3 linked regions of the Mus musculus genome follow. The protein of the gene in region 3 purifies or fractionates together with the protein of the main gene of each other region. This does not show direct contact. Links are inferred from orthologs where the notes say so. Each region holds a gene or a part of one and is shown on either strand. Other genes may lie near its edges.

Region 1 (3,806 bases), on a different chromosome or scaffold from region 3:
TGCTATGTCTACATGTAAAATTGAGCAGAAATCTGACTCAAAGGTTAAGATGACCAAACAGAAGATACAGTTTGAAAGCAGCAATGCCAAGTTTTAAAATATATTTTTTAGACATTTTAGACACTTACTAGGTATATGTAACCAAGTGAGCAGCCAATACTTTCACCTATAGAGGCTTTTAAGTCCTTAACCCAAGCAACCATCATCATCATAAAACTAGCAACTTGACTAGTCAAGTTTAAAGTTTAATTTAAAGTCAAGTACAAGATAAAGAAGCTAGAGTCCTCCTGTTAAAGGGGAACATAATTATACTATATCCAGTCTCACTCCAGCGTGAGTGAGATATGCATATATATGAAATAAAATGGGAATAAGTAAATGTTGAAAGTTTTCTATGAGCTAAGCGATTTAGAGCAGACACATATTGTTAAGACAGTCCAACAATTCGTGGTGTATATAAAGTGTTACTTTCTTTAAGATGAGGCGACTGTTTTCGAACAATCTATGCTGGCAAGTGTTGAAGCAGCGATTCTTCAGGCGACACCACTTCTTGGTAATAATACCACCAGCAGGCCTCTAGAGTTAAACATGATTTTTCTTCTTTTTAAATAATTCCCCCAAGTAACACCACAATATAATAAAAAATGTAAAGGCATATACTTTGAATGCATTTACTAAAAAACACTAGGCACTAGTATAAGAAATGAACATGTATGAATTCACAAATGTATCTAAAGTAATTTGGCTGTCACTTCTGACTGTAAAACAACATTACTTTCGAAAAGACTACAGACGTATTAAGAATAAAGTTTAAGTTGCCTTAAAGAAAAATCCCACTTCTATTTCAAGATTCCCCCTCTCCCACTGCTTTCTGACCTACCTACCTGGCTCCACAACAAAGGAGTGCGTTTCAGATGAAGGAGGAGGGGCTAAGGAAAGCTAGGTGGGGGGTGAGTGGTACTGGCAGTTAGGAGCGTGAGACAGGAAGAGCCTATTATTAAAAGAAGCCGAAAAGTTCCGTAGCTTCAAAAAATATGACGCTCCTCTTTAGTAATCAGAGAGCTGCAAAAAGAACAACAACAATAAAACCAATCCGCACATTCTTTTTTTTTCTTCCTCCAGAAAAGACTGACAAGGCCAAATGAATGTTTAGAGAGGGGGTGGTAGATGGGAGCGGAGGGCGGGGCCACATCTGCCGCGCTTTTTGTGGGAGTGGAGATCGGGGACCGGACCTCACTGGTGACGTAGATCTCATGTGACCAGGAGTCGACGTGTGCAGAAATCCTGCTAGTCTGGTCCTTGTTTCCATCTGGGTACCAGCTCCCTTTAGCCTTGCAGACGGTGGTGCGAGAGGCCAGCGGCCAGAAGAGACAGCTTGCTTCAATTCATCAGGTTAGTGTTTTAAGCCGTTACTGCCAAGGATTTTTGTAGTTTACAGTGGTCTAGGGTAGTGACTTGAGTCCTGGTTAAGTCTGTCCCTCCACCTCGTACCTTTAATTCTTCAGGAAAGGACACTTGTGAAACGACTAGGGGGTCCCAAGAGAAAACAAGGGGGGCTGTGACGATTCCAAAATAATCATACTCTGAGATTTTGGACCCCCACTTTGCTTCCCAAACCTCGTCTCGGATCTACAGATAGTTGGGGAAGAATAGCTCCTTTTTACCCTCTGTCTGGTGAGAAAGACAGGCTAACTTGCGGGGTGGGAAGGAGGAGTCCTTTGGGAAACAAAGGGTGGGAAACTTCCATAAGCAAGCCCTTAAATGCGGAGAGCTCGGCGAGCTGGGTCCGTGGTAGTGCTCTGCTGAGCACCGAGGGCTTGCTTGCCCCACCCCCAACATCCCCTCCCTTCTCCGTTTGCCTGCAGGTTTGTTCTTTGTACCGCACCAGGCTAAAATAAGTAGGAAAAAGAAATCGACCAGATCTGTACCTGGTAAGTGAGGGGGAACTTTATAAAAGACTCCCCCAGGATATGGGTCGGTGAAGGCCTGCAGAGGCTGAAGGCCCCAGTCCCCTCTCCCTTCCCCCCACCCCTTTCGGAGGGGCCTGTGTTAGGCCTGGGAGGGAGAAAGATTTGTGGAGGGCTGGGGCGGGAGGCGGGAAGGAAGGCCTTGGAAAATGCTGGAGGGAGGGACTAGAGAGGGGAGGGGGTGGAAAATGGAGGTAAGAGGGGCGGGGACAGGGAAACCTTGATTGCGGACTGGGTTTCTCAGGTGGAAGGTATCTGGTGAGGGCAGTTAGACCGAACGAGGGTGGGGGGAAGAGAGGAGGGGAAAGAGGGAAGTGGGGAGAGGGAGAGCGGGAGGGGGCAAGAGTGGACGGAGGGGGGGTGGGATGGGGAGGGCGTAAGCAAACGGTGAGGAGACCTTTGTGCACAGCACCTGCCCATCTACCAAGTCTTCCATCTACCACCACCTCCTCCTCCTCCTCCTCCTCCTCCTCCCCCTCCCCCTCCCCTCCCCCCTCGCTTCCTAGAAATCATTGCATTCCCGTATTCTGCAGGAAGCAGCAAAGAAGAGAAGCAGACACAAGATGAAACCCTGCCAAAAAATGGAAGGAAACCTAGAAAAGGAGGATGAGCCAAAGCCTGAGGAAGAGCCAAAGCCGGAGGAAAAGCCCGAGGAGGGGCAGGAACCCGAGGAGGAGGAGAAATCCGAAGAAACTTTTCGGGAGAGGCTGATCCGGTCTCTGCAGGATTTTCAGGAGGATATACACAACAGGCACCTGAGCAGTGATGATCTGTTTAGAGATGTGGAGGAGCTAGATGAGATCAGGAAAGTGAGAAACAAACTTATAGTGACGCGTTGGAAGGCTAACCGAAGCCATCCTTACCCCTATTTAATGTAGCTTGGCTTGCTTTCCCTTTTATCTGATGTTACCATTGCGATCTAGCTTTCTTTTCATTAGCATTTTCCTGATAAGACCTTTGCCCATCTTCCTACTTTGAATCTGTTGCTGTTAGTGGCTTTAGCTGTATCTCTTGTTGTCTGTATCTTACTGTTGATTATATTTGAACCAATCTATAAGTCTCTGGCTTTAAGCTTTACTGATTTGTAAAAAAAAAAGAAAAAAAAGAATAACAAAATGAGCTTCTGATGGGATACAAAATGAGAAAAGGTTACAAAATAATATGGGAATATCATATTTTGAAAGACAGGAGTACCTTTGTATGTTACATATATGCACATATAAACTTGTGAAAGATGAATGATTTTTCTTCTGCTTATTTGTATTTGCCATATTCCTAAAATGAACACGCATTATTCTTGCTAAAAATAATAAAGGTTTTATAACTAAAAATAAGAATCCAACAGCCCATCAATTTATTTTTAAAACTCCTGAGGCGCTTGTTATTCATTGACAATATGAGAACTACCGAGTTAAAAGATTAAAATTCACAACTCGTCTCATACGCAATAATAAACATAACTGTGGTGGTCACATGCGCTGCAGAGCTGTTCAACGGGGCTTTATCCCCATTTGCTCGTGCAGGAGGCTCCAAATGCTAGAGCTTTCTTTCTGCTATTGGGAAGCATAGGAAAAAGTAACAAGCTCAAGCAACAGTTAGGTGAGTGCTCCATAGTTCTTCCTGCCTGTCTAGACTCCCATCGAGCTGCTTTCGATACTTGCGTGGTTATCCAGTCCTTGCACATTTCTGCAAATTTCACTTCCCTGGGATCTTAACTTATTTCCTCTTATAAGATTCCAAGAGAGAACAGGCTCATGTAAGAGTCTGACCAGAACAGGAGTCTTAACAATTTAGGCTTTCACAGGATCTCTTTTCTGGATGTGAAGATGCCATTTGGTA
Region 2 (4,046 bases), on a different chromosome or scaffold from region 3:
GTTTTATCTGATGGTAGAGAGAAATATTAATCTTAAGTCTTCCAGCAAATGTAAGTTTTCTATCTGCAAATGAAGCAGATGGGAATGAAAGTTAAAGATGCGACAGATTCCCTTGATTAAAATTCTAAAGTCACTGAATGTTAAGGCTAAAGGCAGTTTAGATCCCAGAATGACTGTGATGAGACTCAAGCCCCAAGATGTACTCAAGTCCGAGGCCCCTCCAAGGCCAGGATGTCACAAAGTCACTAAGAAAACATTCAAGGCTCCGATCCCAACAGTTCTGCCCAGACTCAGCCTTTTTGTTTTTTTATTTTGTTTTGAGACAGGGTCTAATGAAATAATCCTGGCTGTCCTGGAACTCACTTTGTAGACCAGGCTGGCCTCTACAGAGATCTGCCTGCTTTCTCCCCACCCCACCCTACTTGTGCTGGGATTACAGCCTTGCAACACCATGCTCAGTTCAGGCTCAGCGTCTAAACCTGGCATTTTGCACACAACATAAGTGAGACAGTTGTTAGGAGACAAAAGTTATCTAAAAGCTTAAAAACACACACTCAGGTCCACATGAATGCCACTGGTAGGATTTGCAATCCTCCCATAATAGACCTAAGAAAACCTATCCCTTAGCTGGGTGATGGTAGTGCTGATCGCACACACCTTTAATCCCAGCATTCAGGAGGCAGAAGTAGAGGCAGGTAGATCTCTCTGAGTTCAAGACCAGCCTGGTCTATGGAGCAAGCTCCGGAACAGTCAGGGCTACACAGAGAAACCCCACGAAAGAAAGAAAGAAAGAAAGAAAGAAAGAGAGAGAGAGAGAGAGAGAGAGAGAGAGAGAGGAAGGAAGGAAGGAAGGAAGGAAGGGAGAGAGAGAGAGAGAGAGAGAGAGAAAGAGAAAGAGAGGAAAAAAAAAAGAAGGGAAAAAAAGAAAGCTTGTCCCAAAATAGTTACAGTCACATTCTGGAGTAGCTTGGGACATCTGCTTTGTGACAATTACTAGATGGATTAAGGAGACTGGAGGAATAAGGAAGAGAAGGACAAATGTCCCCTCTGATACCTTGTGTCTGCTTAGGTCACCCTAAAATAGGGAGTCTCCCTAATGCTGACTTTAATAAGACCTTCCTAAAGCTGGTCCAACTGGTGTTCAAGTCCTTGGACTGAAAAACAAGTTTATGAGCAGCAAGGTCACCTGACTTTGACTGTGTGAACACTGTTTATCCAGATGACAGTGGCTGCCACAGCTTTGAAGAGAGCTGCGCAGACTCTGCTGTCCCTTTGAAGCTTCCTGATGCCTCTCCTTGTCTCAGTGCCATAAAAAGGAACCTCAACCTCGAAAACAAGGGAAGTCACAAACACCACATGCTAGCAGGGGAAACCCCACTTGCCCTTTGAATTGTTAATGTAACCTTGTTACTTACAACCCCGATCTATGACTATCTAATTACAATACAAAAAAAAGTGCCCTCCGCTCCACCTATAATGTGCCCACTGCTCTCAAAGCCCACTCACTGTTCAGACCAGATCGTGTCTCTAGTCAGAGGAGTGGTAGCCCGGATCCAAGTAGGTCAGCAGGCTAATATCAGTCCCTGATACTAGTTCAGGAGCTTCAAACACTGACAACGGGGAACATCAGTCCTATGTTGAGGAGGGAAAGGGATAGTTAAGTAGGCTTACCCATCTCTTCCTTTGCTGACAATCTTTACTTCAAAATAGTAAATACCACAGGCTGCTGGGATGGGGTGGGTGGCACGTACAGAGGCTGCATCTTTGTGATTTTTGCCATGACCTGATGTAAGAAGCCAAGGAAGGAATGTCAACACCAGAAAAACGCAAATGAAGGCCTCCTTTTTCTCTACGCCATGGTAAATTCAACCCTCCCTGGCCAGAAGAAGTTCTTGTACTCTCTGAGGAATAATAAGACAACTGAGTAAACACTTAAGCCTCCCGCCTTTAGATCATCTCCACCCCAGACCAACAGTCCTGACAGAGATATTGTCCTCCACAACAAACAAAACAAGGTAGATACAGGCAACAGAAGTGTGTGAGAGACACTGAATACTGTTGTCCGTCTCTCCAGAATCCAAACAGCCCAGCCTGGAGCCCAGGGGAAGGAAGTGGCAAAAATGGAAGTCACCAACAACAACTTTAGCACACAGCGCCTAGCCCAGTCCCGGGATGACTGGCAGCCAGGCAGCCCATGCACTTACTGTGGCAATGTTACCACCTCTTTTTGCAAAAAAAAGACTGAAACTAAGCCGTGGTAAAGGGCCTAGCATAAATTGGAGCCAGCTCAGGAAAGAAGGGTGGCCCTGAAGTGGAAGGTCCTGTCTAGTTTTGGACATTTAATGCAGTTGTCTCTGAGTCTAATATTTAGGAACAGAGCAAAGGAAGCAGGGTAAACCCCGGCCTGACCAACCCCTCTACTCTGGACGTTCCGCTGGGCTAAGGCCCAACTCTCAGAAAACCCGGGCAAAGAAAGGGAAAATGGGCACAGCCTCCCTGCAGACGCAGTAAACTTGTCTCCCAGCGGCCAGACCCGCTGATACCTTTGTAATGGACACGGAGGTTTCCCTGGGAGAGGCCGATGTAGTTGTACTTGTCCTTGGGGCTCCAGGAGCGCGGCAGCGGCGTCTCGTGCTGATTAACCGCAGGGTACAAGCGCTGCAGGCGCCGACTCAGTTCCTGCTCTCCAGGTGACGGTAGCCCGCCCCCGGAGTCCCCACCGGAGGAGTCCCCAGCCTGCGGGTTCCCAGCTCCCGGGTCTGCCGTCGCCGCCGCCATCTTGGAGGGAGCTGCTATTGTGTCACTGGGGGCGGGGAGGAGTGCAACCAGATTTGCCTTGCTCAGCCAATGGGCCGTGAGCATCCCAGGGTCGTAGGGAAACTGAGTCCGAGTCCCGGCAACCTTTCTCTGGACACTACTATACTTCGCCAGATTTAGACTACATATCCCACAATGCATAGCGCTGTAGAAGCCGGCCAACGAGGGTTCCTGGAGAACTTCGGAAGATGTAGTACATCACTGCTCACTCACAAGCCAGTACAACGAAGACTCCGAACCACTGAGAACTACCATTCCCGACTGGCCAAGTGGCCAGACCTCGAAGCTCGCCTTCCTCGTCCACGGTCTCACTTTATTCTTCTGCCTCAGTTCTGTAGCTAATATCAAATTTGCTGTATTGACTGGTTCTCAGAATACCCCATCCCCAGCTCCAGGTCTACTTTTACTGCTTGGCCTTTCTCCAGAGTGCTCACGGGGGCGGGGGCTGGAGGCGTGGCTCAACTGTGAGCCCGCCCTCAACGCAGAGGCTGCTGGGGTCTGGTCCCTATGGCAACGGACTGTACACTACCGCAACGGCTCAATCCTGCATCTGCTCCAAAGTCATGGCCAACCTACAGGAGCGTAAAAGTTTCTCCAAGCCAAGGTAGCACCTGGCCGGGCTGAGGGCGGGGAAGACTTGAATATTTCCAAAAAGAAAAATGACACTGATTCCGATCGCTGCACTGTCTGTTCTTTGGGTAGGACTTCAGCGCCGCAGAATCAGCGATACAGTTGTAATAGAATTGGGGCTGACTCGTCAGTCCAGTAAGAACGTTACAAGCTGCCAAAAGTGCAGGTGTACTTTATCGTAGATAGATGATCTTAGCTAGACACTAAAAAACGAAGTGCCTTATTATAATTATATGTGAAATTCTCACAACTCCTGTTTATAAGAAGCATTCAGTTTCCCACCTGCTCATTCCCAGTAGTGGAAGAAGGGCGAGAGAGGTGATTTCATTCTCAACTCTAATCTTTCAAGGTCTGCTGCCTTGGTAGAAAAAGGCTACAAAAGGACAGCCTGTTGAACAGTGAGAGTTGCAGGACAGTCAGGGCTATATGGAGAGACCCATCTTAAAATAAATGAATTAAAATAATAATAATAAGCCTACAGAGGTTCCAAGGACAGAAAATACCAATGTTATGATTGTCCCTGAAGGAAAAAAAAAGTCTCCGAGAAACAGGCAGCAGCAGGTTGAAAGAGACAACTGTTTCCCATCAAAGGCATAATC
Region 3 (4,036 bases):
TTACAGCTCTAGTGTGATCAGAACTGTGAACTCCTTCAGAGCATTTCTGATGCCCTTGCATTGCTAAAGTACACAATACAGGGCTTTATGCTTTATGCTTCACTAGGACACAGTAAGTAGCTTATTAGAGGATTCAACCAACTATGTGTCAGAGGTCAAGGTCTGGCACCTTCCTGTTTCTATCTTACTTTTTGAAACAGGGTCTCATCAGCCAGGCGTGGTGGCGCACGCCTTTGATCCCAGCACTCGGGAGGCAGAGGCAGGCGGATTTCTGAGTTCGAGGCCAGCCTGGTCTACAAAGTGAGTTCCAGGACAGCCAGGGCTACACAGAGAAACCCTGTCTCAAAAAAAAAAAAAAAAGGAAACAGGGTCTCTCACTGAACCTGAAGCTCCCTGTTCTGACTAGACAAACTGGCCGGAAACCCTCCATGATCTACCTCCCAATGACATGCACTGCCACACACAGCTTTTTATGTAGGTAATGGGATCCTAACTCAAGACCTGCTGTGAAGCAAGAGATCTACCTACTGAGCCATCTCCTCAACTTCCAATAACTTCTAACTAATAACTGATATAAATATATATAAATAAATAAATATAAATATAAATATAAATATATATAAGCTTTGGTTAGCTGGTTGAAAGTTAGAACCTTTCCTTTAAACTGGGAAAATCACCAAGTTCAGACATTTTAAATCATGTGTCTAAAGCTCTGCCTATTCCAAGGCCCTAAGGTGGAAGAATTAGAAAACAAGACTTTAGAGTTAGTTTCTGCTTCCAAATGCTAAAGAAAAGTCTAACTCAAAATGGAAAATATTCTTCAACAAGTTTTCGAGTGAAATAAACAGAACATAATCATTTATTGGGAGTGTGAGACAAATGAAGTTTTCAACTATATCCACTATACAAGCTGACAATATACAAAAGGCAAAGAAACCACACGTGAGGCCAGAGCAATATTTTGGAACAGCATTTTTCAAGCGTGCTCAAAGGTCTGGGATTGATCACCTATGTGTGTGTATGTGCACTCGCACACGTCTTTTCAGGTGAACTATAGGATAAGTGCAACCTAAATGGCACAATCAGAAAGAAACTGAGCAGTTACGATACATTCTTTTCTCCTTTTAATGCAAAGAGAGAAGTCATCGGTTTATTCTCCCACTAAACATTCATGGACAATATAAAGTGAAATAATGAGCTAATGTGATCAGTAATTGGACAGAAAGTACTTCTCCAGTTGCAGTTTAAGTAAACAGTTTAGTAAGACGGATCTGGGGCTAGATTTGTTGACCGTCTTCCAAAATTGCATTTTGCACTGTAGAGTGACTTCTGTCTTTTTGGGTAGCCAGCATGGCTCTAACCAGCCCTGACTGGAGTGATGTACCTAGTGCCTTTGAACACAAAAGTGTGTTTGTGTGAGAGTCAGGGAAGAGGAAAGAAACCGGTTGGAGTTGCAAGACTATAGGGAATCTGACAAGCCATCTATAATCCAACTGCCATCTCGGTAAGTCTCCACAGGTCTAAAAGATGATTCTTTGCCCGCCTATTTCTTTACTTCCAACAACAACTGAATCATTGGTAGGCTCTATTTGGAGTCCAACTGCTAAAATCTGTGGTCAAACCTCCCAGAGTTATCTCCCAACAACACTCATTCTTGTTCATTTCATTCCTGGTCCTGTTTTTTGTTTTTGTTTGTTTGTTTAAAGGACATTATAGCGGAAGGCGAAAGTCGCCTTCTTTGCTTTTTGTTGTTTCTTTTTAATTTAAGAAAAAAAAAACCCTGATATTTCTTCTAGGTATATCAATACGTTCCCTTCTTTCAAATACTGGGGGAACCTATTCTTTTTCATTCCGACTTTTTGGTCCCTCCTAAAATGTTTTGCTCTCCCTAAAGAAAAATCAAACACCGGACATTAGAAACATAGTTTCTCTAGTCTCGGAGCCCGGACCTCAACAGCAGAGCACAGCAAAGCGGTTTAAATAACCATACACAATAGCGCGAGTTGCAGCTGATGTGAAAACCTCCATTGCCAAGAAGCAAGCGGTGTTGGCAGGTGCCCTGGTGGTAGGGACTTGACAGAAGACGCACAGCCCTGGTCTGGCAGCTCTGTGCTGTGGCAGCTTAAGAGTTCGCACCTCTTCTAGCCACAGCCCTGGAGAGCGAAGTGGACTCTAGGTTCCAGGCCTGTCCTGAACCCTCGCAGGCAGCGAGCTCCGTCCCGAGAAGCAACAGCGCAGGGAGGAAGACGGGAGAAGGCTCGGCCAAACCCAAGCCGCGCCCATGGGCCGGCTGCCTGGAGCCCGACCTCCCCGCCGGCCGAACGGCCGCCGTCCTGGGAACCCGCACCGGTGGGAGCTCTCGAGTAGGAGACGCCTCCGACTCGGCCCGGGTCGCGTGCATCCCAGCTGAGGCCACCGCAGTGGGTGGTGCTCGGGAGGCTCAGGGCGCCGGGGTAATGCTGTGGGCAGGACCGGGGTTGCCCCGCGCCGGGCGGGTCACTCACCGAGAGGACGCTCATGCGGATTGGGGTCTCCAACAGGCACGCCATCTTGAGCCTTCCCACCCGGCTGCTGCCGGCGCCGGCGCGCGGCCGGCACTTTCGACAGCCACCTATGTGACCTGCAGCCGGAGCCTCTGTAGAAAGCCCAGGCAAGCTGCCCAGAACAGACCGCGCCCCAGGCGTCGCTCGAGCACCGAAGGGGCTGGGCAGAAGGGCGAGGGATTGGGAAACCGCGCCGGACCCCGGCTTACGAATCGTCCTCTCAGAAACAGCAGCTACTCTCGGCTGGGGTCAGAGGTGGGCGCGGGCAGCGGCCTCCGCATGCGCAGAAGCCTGCCTGCCCCACCTTCCGCGGGTGGGGGGCGGAGCCTCACCCTGGCTCGACGAGCTGTCCGCACTCTTAAATTTCAGTTTACAGGTTTTCTTTCCTAACCGCTAGTAGGTGGAGTTACTATCTACGGAGTCTGAAGTTCACTTTCACATTCATTATCTCACTCTACACCATTCCCTAGTTTCAGTATTCTCTCCCTCTTAAAGCTGGAGAAACTGGTCTCAAAACTAGGTCTTCTGCCTGCAATGAAAATCGCCTCACGCTTCAACAGTTAACTATGACCTGCTTTATTTAGCGTTGCGTGCCCGACCCACTTACTCTGGTATATTGGTAAGAACGGGTTCTCCACAGCCAGGACGCCTGGATTTAATCCTAGCTGCTTTTCGTTAGTGCCAATATTTTGGAAAGGTTCTTAGCCTCTTTATATTTATTTCACTTCTCCCGACTGTAAAATAAGGACTAATGAGAATAAATGGCCCAATAAACAACAACAACAACAACAAAAATGCCTGGAATGTGGAAAGCCTTACGTTGTCTGTGTGTTAGAATTATTTCCAGCCTTTAGGTCAAATGGGGGATGGAGAATTAAACTATGTGAATGTTTCCTACTAAAATATTCTGAAAGTAAAGCCATCCCTAATTCAGGTTGTTACCTCAACTCCACTCACCTCCCAGTGCTCTTTAAGTAAAAGCATATCTCTCCCATTGTTTCTCATTTCCTCCTGTACTTTAATGTCTACATTTATTGTATCACTTATCACCCTTGCTTATAAGTCTCTTACAAAGTGTTGCACTTCTGAAAGCCTGGAAGTTTAAGAGAACCCTGGTGCTGTAGCGGTATATCCTAAGCTCTGTAACTACAGTCTTTCCCACTCTTTACACAGGAATTATTACTCATTCAGTAATTTTATTTAAAGCCAGATTGAGCCCATTTAAGATTGTTAGCCTTGTCCTAAATCAAGTCTGTGAAATCAAATGTGTTGTATTCTTTTTTATTCTAGTACATATTACCATTCATAAATACATTTAAATGTTCATCTGTCCACCCATGTAACACCTAAAATCACGTCCTAGTATGCCTGCTACAACCAGGCAAATTGTAATTGTATATAGCACACAAAAGCATTGACAATTGTACAATAGTCTCTATATGTGTGAGCTATACCTCACCCAGAAACTCGGGCAATACATCTTCTAGGAAACC

The links. The genes of interacting proteins can lie anywhere in the genome.
Region 1: the proteins of Armc8 (region 3) and Tceal9 purify together in Homo sapiens (affinity purification with mass spectrometry; 3 studies listed by BioGRID and IntAct, with this or other methods). This does not show direct contact. The link is inferred for Mus musculus from reciprocal best matches to the Homo sapiens genes ARMC8 and TCEAL9.
Region 2: the proteins of Armc8 (region 3) and Ranbp10 purify together in Homo sapiens (affinity purification with mass spectrometry; 5 studies listed by BioGRID and IntAct, with this or other methods). This does not show direct contact. The link is inferred for Mus musculus from reciprocal best matches to the Homo sapiens genes ARMC8 and RANBP10.

Annotation. Positions count from the first base shown.
Region 1 is NC_000086.7:136,243,836-136,247,641, forward strand, and holds Tceal9 (transcription elongation factor A protein-like 9), read left to right. Parts: upstream 1-1,244; 5' UTR 1,245-1,392; intron 1,393-1,865; 5' UTR 1,866-1,931; intron 1,932-2,500; 5' UTR 2,501-2,530; coding exon 2,531-2,845; 3' UTR 2,846-3,304; downstream 3,305-3,806. UniProt on the Homo sapiens protein: May be involved in transcriptional regulation.
Region 2 is NC_000074.6:105,824,407-105,828,452, forward strand, and holds the start of Ranbp10 (ran-binding protein 10), read right to left. Parts: upstream 2,803-4,046; 5' UTR 2,779-2,802; coding exon 2,544-2,778; intron 1,784-2,543; coding exon 1,672-1,783; intron 1-1,671. Other genes in the region: Tsnaxip1 (translin-associated factor X-interacting protein 1), read left to right, coding at 3,381-3,421. UniProt on the Homo sapiens protein: May act as an adapter protein to couple membrane receptors to intracellular signaling pathways.
Region 3 is NC_000075.6:99,566,098-99,570,133, forward strand, and holds the start of Armc8 (armadillo repeat-containing protein 8), read right to left. Parts: upstream 2,803-4,036; 5' UTR 2,550-2,802; coding exon 2,505-2,549; intron 1-2,504. UniProt on the Homo sapiens protein: Component of the CTLH E3 ubiquitin-protein ligase complex that selectively accepts ubiquitin from UBE2H and mediates ubiquitination and subsequent proteasomal degradation of the transcription factor HBP1.